2 linked regions of the Cricetulus griseus genome follow. The protein of the gene in region 2 interacts with the protein of the main gene of each other region in a biochemical or structural test. Links are inferred from orthologs where the notes say so. Each region holds a gene or a part of one and is shown on either strand. Other genes may lie near its edges. The genes, in order: Tpp1 and Tert.

What was found.
Region 1: the proteins of Tert (region 2) and Tpp1 form a complex in vitro, tested with the Homo sapiens proteins (2 studies listed by BioGRID and IntAct). The link is inferred for Cricetulus griseus from reciprocal best matches to the Homo sapiens genes TERT and TPP1.

What each region holds. Positions count from the first base shown.
Region 1 is NC_048596.1:93,954,821-93,957,850, reverse strand, and holds the end of Tpp1 (tripeptidyl-peptidase 1), read right to left. Parts: intron 2,935-3,030; coding exon 2,736-2,934; intron 2,594-2,735; coding exon 2,405-2,593; intron 2,168-2,404; coding exon 2,098-2,167; intron 1,892-2,097; coding exon 1,771-1,891; intron 1,664-1,770; coding exon 1,505-1,663; intron 1,330-1,504; coding exon 1,204-1,329; intron 1,030-1,203; coding exon 889-1,029; 3' UTR 669-888; downstream 1-668. UniProt on the Homo sapiens protein: Lysosomal serine protease with tripeptidyl-peptidase I activity. May act as a non-specific lysosomal peptidase which generates tripeptides from the breakdown products produced by lysosomal proteinases. Requires substrates with an unsubstituted N-terminus.
Region 2 is NC_048595.1:368,299,593-368,304,009, reverse strand, and holds the start of Tert (telomerase reverse transcriptase), read right to left. Parts: upstream 2,933-4,417; 5' UTR 2,548-2,932; coding exon 2,329-2,547; intron 2,234-2,328; coding exon 898-2,233; intron 1-897. UniProt on the Homo sapiens protein: Telomerase is a ribonucleoprotein enzyme essential for the replication of chromosome termini in most eukaryotes. Active in progenitor and cancer cells. Inactive, or very low activity, in normal somatic cells.

The sequences.
Region 1 (3,030 bases), on a different chromosome or scaffold from region 2:
AAGAACACTGAATTCCAGGAGTTAGAAGAAAAGGAGGCTAGCTGGTATGGTTAGAGTGGGTATGCACTGGAGGCTAAGGAAAAAGGATGAACAGGGAACTGATGGAAAGAGCGAAAGCCCAAGTTCACAGAAGCTAGATGTTTGCAAATATCCCAATGTTGCTTTACTGTAGCCAAGAAGGGGGAAATAAAATGTAAATTTAAAAAAATTTGTTGAAGCAAAATTTAAAGGTGACATCCATTTGTAACGACCTGTTTATTTTGTTGAGAAATTTTGCCAATGAGAACATGTTTAAAACACTTGGAGTTTACAAACTTTTAACTGTCTTTAGAATATGAGATTGTTGGCAACCTGTTCTTTAAAAAAAAAAAAAAAGCATAAAACAAGGATTGAGAAGTGTATACTGGATAAAATGTCAGGGAGACAATTACACCTCAGTGCCAGGGGAAGAAAGACTAAACAATTAGTAGCAAAGGTCTCATTCCAGTGAATTGAGAAGGAAACTTGAAGAGAAACAGAGCATACAGTCAGTGCAGAGGTGGTAACCACCCCCCCATCCCCCACCCCCACCCCCAGGGCCTGCTAGTATCAATAATGGGAGACAACCTCCTCATCTTCCTTTCACATCTCAAGTTGGAAAGAGGAAGATGGGGAAGGGTGAGACAAAATAACCTGGTTATAGCATCTTGTTGAGTTAGGAGACCTGAGTTTGATGCAGCACAGTAGGGTTGGGAGTCAAGTGCTGCTCACAGCGTTTGAGGGTTAGGGAAAAGATGGCTGCAGGAGGCAAGAGTTAAGAGTTTCACAGGGCTTCCATTGAGGCAGAATAAGGGACTAAGCCTTCTCCTGTAGCAGAGGGGACAATTCTACTTTCCCAGCAAGAAAGGGTCAAGGGTTGAGTAGAGTCTTCAGTAGGGCAGGGAAGTTGGGAGTTCCCCAACCTGTCACAGGATCCCAGCCAGGACCAGAGCAGAAACCCTGACCCTCCACTTCTTCATTCAGACAGGACTCATGGCAGCCATGGGTTACCTGGGAAGAGGTAGTGAACATCAGATCTGGGCATGCTGGTACCCATACTCTTAGACTGCACCTTATTTATATTCATATCACAGAGGCAATACCATAAAGCAAAAATGCCCCAAGTTCACATTATTCCTACCCATATCCTCTGACAACATCCACCCTCTTTCCTCCAACACTTACATCAAACAGTCCTGCTCCATGCTGCTGATAAAGTCTTGGATTGAGAAAGCCAAGAGGGGGGCGGCCATTGAGTATTCTGTGTTCATTTATCAAGGATAAAATTCCCCCAAACACTGGAGTAGAGGCCTGCAAGATGGAGATGCAAGAATAGGTCAGGGTTTCAGAGTTTTTAGACTTTTGAGGAATGATGCTTGCAAAGGTCAGAAGTCTAAGGAGTCAGGGGTTCTGGGTGCAAGATTTTATAGGTAAGGGATTGAGGGTAGTTCCTGCGTAGAAGTTTCAGAACCAAGATGATTCTCACCGAGGTTCCAGATACCCATGGAATGGGGACCTTGTTGCTGACTACCCAGTAGCCATCAGAAAGTGCAGCAACGTCTGGGTAGGCACGGCCACTAGCATTGAAGTAACTAGATGGTGGTAGATGAGAGCTGGACTTCAAGAACTGGGCCACTGCTTCCTCCTGCAGGACATTTCTGAGTGTGAGTATTGGTCAGTAGCCAGTTCAGCTGACTGCTGGACTGAGGATCCTCACCCCACCCTCCATATATCCAATGAACGTGCACAAACCTGGTATGAAGGCTGCGGGAAAACATTGCTGAAGCCTCCACCACTGATATAGTCAACTACTTCATTTGTGATGAGGAATGGATTCCTGAAGGAAGTGCCGCCTACTGTAGTGACGTAGGGGCTAAGGAAAAGACAGTATTCAGATAGTGGGTGACCCCCAAGATGTCTGGAGATGGGTGGGTATGGTCTGGGTCTTACTGGAAAAGGGAATAAGACTGTAAAAACCTGCATACAGGGTTTACTGAGAGACAGGTAAAGCTGAAGGCTGAGCCATAGCGGCACCTGGTGGGGTCAAAGTCACAAGTGAAAGATTTGAGGGGTGCTTACCTAGAAGCAGGGAAGCTAGGACGGAACTTGTGTCTTCCAGAGACAGACCAACACCCAGCTCCAGTGTCACCTGGGAGAGACATATTGAATATTCAGATTAGTTGGTGAGAGCTTGGGGTGTAGACTCATATGCCAGAGAAGAAATATAGGTGTCACCTCTTATTGCAGGTCAGGGTTTACAGGTCATGTCAGGCCCTGTTAAGGCTCTGAATTCCTACTATGAGTCAGAAACCAGGCTGAAGTGTCAGCTAGGGCAACATGTCCAGATTGGGTAGGTGGGAAGTCCAAGTTTAGGGTAGAAGGTTACCTGAGGCAAAAAGTAGGGTGAGACCCCGAGCAGCAGCCTTCATGAACTCGGTGTTGACTCTCTGGATGTAGATGCTGCTGAGGGAGTCTTCATCGTCTCCATAACTCACAGTATGTACATGTGGCAAGGTTGACTCATTGCTGAGAAGCAGGAGCCACTGCAAGAAGGGCTCCTGTGCCTCATGCCGGCCTGGATTGTTTTAAAAGAAGGGATACCAATGGTCATCAAAGAGTTGCTAGACTCTCCTTGAATCCCCTTGATAAAATGAAGCAGAGATCAACAGCCTACACCAACCCATTCCCCCCACCCCAACTAATTCTGTTAGTAATACCAGGGCTACTGTAGACCCAAGTGGAGATGTTGGCACCAGCACTCATCAGGTATTCCACGTCTAGACTGGCCTCGATCCCAGCTCGGCCTCGTCCCTGTTTTCCAACCACTCTGGCTACTGATGCCTGGTGTGCAAAATCGCCACCAAACAGGCGCATGAACTCAGTCAAATCTGAGTCATGGAAATACTGTTCCAGGAACTGTGGAAACAGTTAAATCAGGGGTCATGGATCAGAGAGTGGGCCCCAGGGTAGTAAGGCACTAAAGATATCTTGAGGAGGTTGTGAGGACCCCAG
Region 2 (4,417 bases):
TGCAAAGGGATGAGATGACAATGCATGGGCAGGTGGGATGACTTACAAGGGCCACAGAGGCTCTCTGCTGCAGCTGGGAGAACCAGGTGTGTGTATTGATATAGGCTCACTCTGGAGCTCCCAGAGATCACCCACGGTGGGTAAACATGGCTCTGCCATCTTTTCCCCTTAAGTTGTAAATATCCTAGGAGTTTGGGAGAGGACAGAGCAGCAGCATAGGGAGTGTGGTTCCTTTCATAGACGCACAGATTGGTGACAGGAGGGCTTGCTGAAAGGAAGAGGACCAACCTTAACATTAAACCAGGACAGGGAGGGCACAGGAGTCCTGGCTCTACAACCGCCCAAGTAACACTGTCCCCCTTCCTGCAGCAGGCTCGGTTCTCCTTTCTGGGGTCCATTTGCAAAACTAAGATGGGACAGGGATCTTCACTGTAGGAAAGTCTTTCGTTATTTCTCCTCTCTCCACCTAAACCTTTCGTGGACTGAGCAGCTGCACCACTACAGCTCACGCATAGGTCTTTGCACTGGGAGAAACAGAACCCTTAAACCACAGGGGCCTTAGCATCGAGGCACTGTTCCACAAGGGGATCAAGAATAGCCTGTAGCAGCTCTCACTGGAGCTTCTTCTCACCGAGTGCCAGTATTTCTACCCACACTATGCACTCCACCTGCTGTTCACCAGTGTCCCTGGCCCTGAGAACCTGCCCCAGGGCTTGGACAAGAATCTTGGTTAGCACAAACTGGGCGGGAGGGAGCTTGGAGTCAGAGATCATCAGATGGGACTTGCCCAACCACTGACTGCATAAAGACACTGCACTAAGGCCTTGGGCTCCTGCCACTCATTGTCTCCCTTTTTTGGACCCTTACTGCATTCAGCTGGAGACCAGCCCTGCTCACCTGGGCTGCTGCGAAGCCAGGGGCAGTCTTCTACTTTCATCCTCCACATCAGCTCTTGCAGAGAGAGCTTGCCATACTTCCCCAAGGAGATGAATTGCTTCACATTCTTAAAGAAGCGCCGCTGGTTGTGCCTGGAACCCCAGAGACCTGGAGGCACCAGCTTTCGGATACAGGCCCGTAGAAAGCCATATACCTGCCAGGGACTGCTGTGTAGGCGGAGCAAATTCATGAGGTGCGGCTGGCTGGTGGTGTTCAAGGCATCGGCCACCTGGTGGGTTGCTGTAGGAAACCTGCAATGTGACCTGAGGAGTCTGACATACGGGCACCGCGCATGGTTTACAAGCAGCTGCTGGAATAGGGGCCGCATCTGCCAGTAGCGCCTCGATAGGCGGCGTGTCCCACAGAGTGGTCCTGATGTCCTAGGCCTAATGCCTAGAAAGATTATCTCCACCAGTCTCCTGGCCCCAGTCAAGCTGGGCTGGAGGTTGTTGAGTAGGAACGAGGGGTTCAGCCTCTCTCGGCCACCTCCCCTAGAGTACAGGAAGTGTTTGGTCTCAGTATATGGTCTGAGCCGAAAGGCATCTTGGCACAGTGGTGACTGCAGGAATGTGGAACTGAGCTTGTGTTTACAGCACGCTGACCCGGGGCGACTCAGGCCAAGTGCCTTCCCTCCGGAAGACAAATCTTCCTTGGTAGTTCTACTAATAGGTACTGCAGGGGACTCAGCAGGATTTGGCACCCTTGTTTTGTCTGATGGGGTTGGAACCGCCTGCCTGTCGGGTTCCTTCTCCAGTCTCTGGGCCAGATCGCACCTGGCCTTCTTGGATGAAGGCACACTTCTATTGGTGATGCTTAGACTCCGCTTTGTGCCTCGAGATGGCAAGGGCAAGAGTTTACATGCTTCCTGGTGATTGCTGTTCCTGACCGAGTGTGTGGATCCAAGATGAGTAAAATTTCTGCCCACGGATCGTGTGGGCCTGTAACTGGGGGGCACAGAGGGACAAGTATCCGCGGTGGCACAGATTTGGTACAGGGGTGGGCCGCACACCTGGTAGGCACAGCTCGGGGGCACTAGCAGGTAAAGCGCGCAGCGGGCCAGCAGGTAGACCAGCAAGTCGTCGCCCACTCGGTTCAGCAGAAGCATCCATGCACCACTGACGCGCAGAGACTCAGTCACCGAGTTGGGCAAATAGCTGCGCACGTTGGTTGTGAAGGTCATGGGTGGCCCGCCTTGGGCTCCGTTAAGAAGCGCAAAGCCAAAAGCCAGCACGTTCCTCTCTCCGCGCTCGCAGAGTCTCTGCACGACCCTGGCCACCAGCTCCTTCAGTGATGACACCTGGTAAGGAGAAGAGGGTTTTGAGCTAGACGCGCTGTCCCGCGTCCTCCCGGCTCTCCGCCCCCGACCCACAGGGATCCAACCCGGAGGCCCACCTGGTGGAACGAAAGGTCAGCAGGTGGAGGTTGCGAGCCCCAGGGCACACACACTAGGCACTGGGCCACCAACGTGCGGAAGACTTTTGGGTCTCCGGGTTGTACAAGTCGCCTGCCCTCAGGTCCCAGGCGCCGCACCAAGGTTGCCAGCGGCCACACCTCGCGGTATCGACTGCGCAGCAGAGCGCGCACGGCCCGGCAACGGGGCGAGCGAGGCATCGCGCTCAAGGTCCGGCCGGGCCTCCCACGTGCGGGAACTTCGATGTAGGGCTGGGGTTAGAAAAGCATCAAGACCCCGGACATTGCGAGCCGGCGGCGGGAAAAGGCGGGGTCGGGACGGAGGAAGGGGCGGGATCGAAGCGGACCAAGCGTTGTAGCGGAAGAGGCGGGGTTGCACCAATGGCGCCTTTCTGTCGGTGGTCCCAAGGTTCAGTGGTTGCGGGAAATGTAAAAATAACAGAGGGAGGTGTGGTCACAAAGGGTTTCCCTCCACAGAGAGTTTGTTGGCTCCCTTGCGCTCGGAGCTGGGGACCCCAGGTGGTGTAGACTGGGGCAGGGTCGCAAGCAAAGACACCTGTTATTGATTTATTGAAGGTTCTGTAGGCAGAGGGATCTAAGGTCCATCCTGCTCCAGAGCCGGCTGCTGCCTCCTGTGAGTTCGGTGCAGACAGTGGGTGGTGGCAGTCCCAGTTCTTTCCAGTAAGGCTTCATAATTAGGGCTGGAACTCTACTGTACAGGTTCTTAAAGCTTTATTGTGGCCCCACCATAAGCTCAGCTCCCCAAAAGGTTTCCTTAACATCTGCCACCAAAGGACGGGGACCAGGTGAAGCTGTGCGTCCGCTTTTCTTACTGTCACAGCAGCCTTCACCCCAGGGTCCAGAGCTATTGGTCATCTCCCACTCAGGCACGGTGGCTAGACCAGAGTCACTGACCAAGGGCACTGAGTGTGCACACAGCCAAAGCAGAGACCTCGACCTCAGGATAGCAGCCCCTCTAACTCGAGGCTGGTAGCTTTAACAGTACTTGAGAGTGGGACAGTGTGGGGTGGGGGGGGGGGCACAGGGCACTGGCGCTAGGGGTCGGGGACATCAATAGTGACACTACCTAGAGCCACAGCTAGGGCCTTGTGAAGTTTGAAGCGCTGGGAAATACAGAATCTGTGCTGAATTTGGCAAACACTGAAATGCTAACAAATGTAACCTTTGGTGCCTTCAGCTTTCTGAGGAAATTGCTTCTATCCACCGACCTAGCATTTGAACAGACCTGGAGCCCTCCCGACAGGCGCTTTTTCATGTTTACTCCCTTGTAGGAGGTCAGCCGCCTTCTAAATGCTTGGGATTACAGTTGCTATTTTAGAAGTCCATTTAGTGGGTGTCAGCCTCTTTTAGGGGTGTTTTTGAGGTTTGCTGAGTACTGCTACTTTGGAGATTTGGGACTGAACTGAGGAATTTGTGCCAACAACCAAGTGTCCTTAGTGTGGTTTCCCAAAGAAACCAGCATTGAAAAAACAGTTTTAAAAATTAGAATATAGCTGGGCATGGTGGTGCATCATTGTAATCCTAGCTCTTGGGAGATGGAGGCAGGATGATGAGGGGCCATTCAAAACCAGGCCAGCTACGCAGTGAGTTTAAGGTCAGCTTGTGCCAAGTTAAGACTCTGCCTCAAAAGACAAAGAGGAGAAAGGGAGTGGGTGGCATGTGCTGACTATACATGAGACCCTGGGTTCAAGGCCAGAGTCAATAAATAAAAAAGACTAGAAGAAACCAAAGCAGAAAACATGTGTAGAAGCTGTCCATGAGCTATGATGGAACCAGTGAACACACACACACACACACACACACACACACACACACACACACACACAGGGGAGGGATGTGTGTGCTGGCTAGTAACAGTGTGGCTTAGAAAGCTGTTCTTACAGACACTAGACCAGGCAGAGGCTGCCCACCAGGAGCTATGCCAGAGACAGCAGGTGGTAGCTTAGAAACTCCGAGGAAAGGGGGTAGAGGACTCCTAGTGTCCCTACCCATACAGGGAGACATGTCTGTAGGAAATCCCTGGGGACCTGTAATGCTCTGGCAGCAAGTG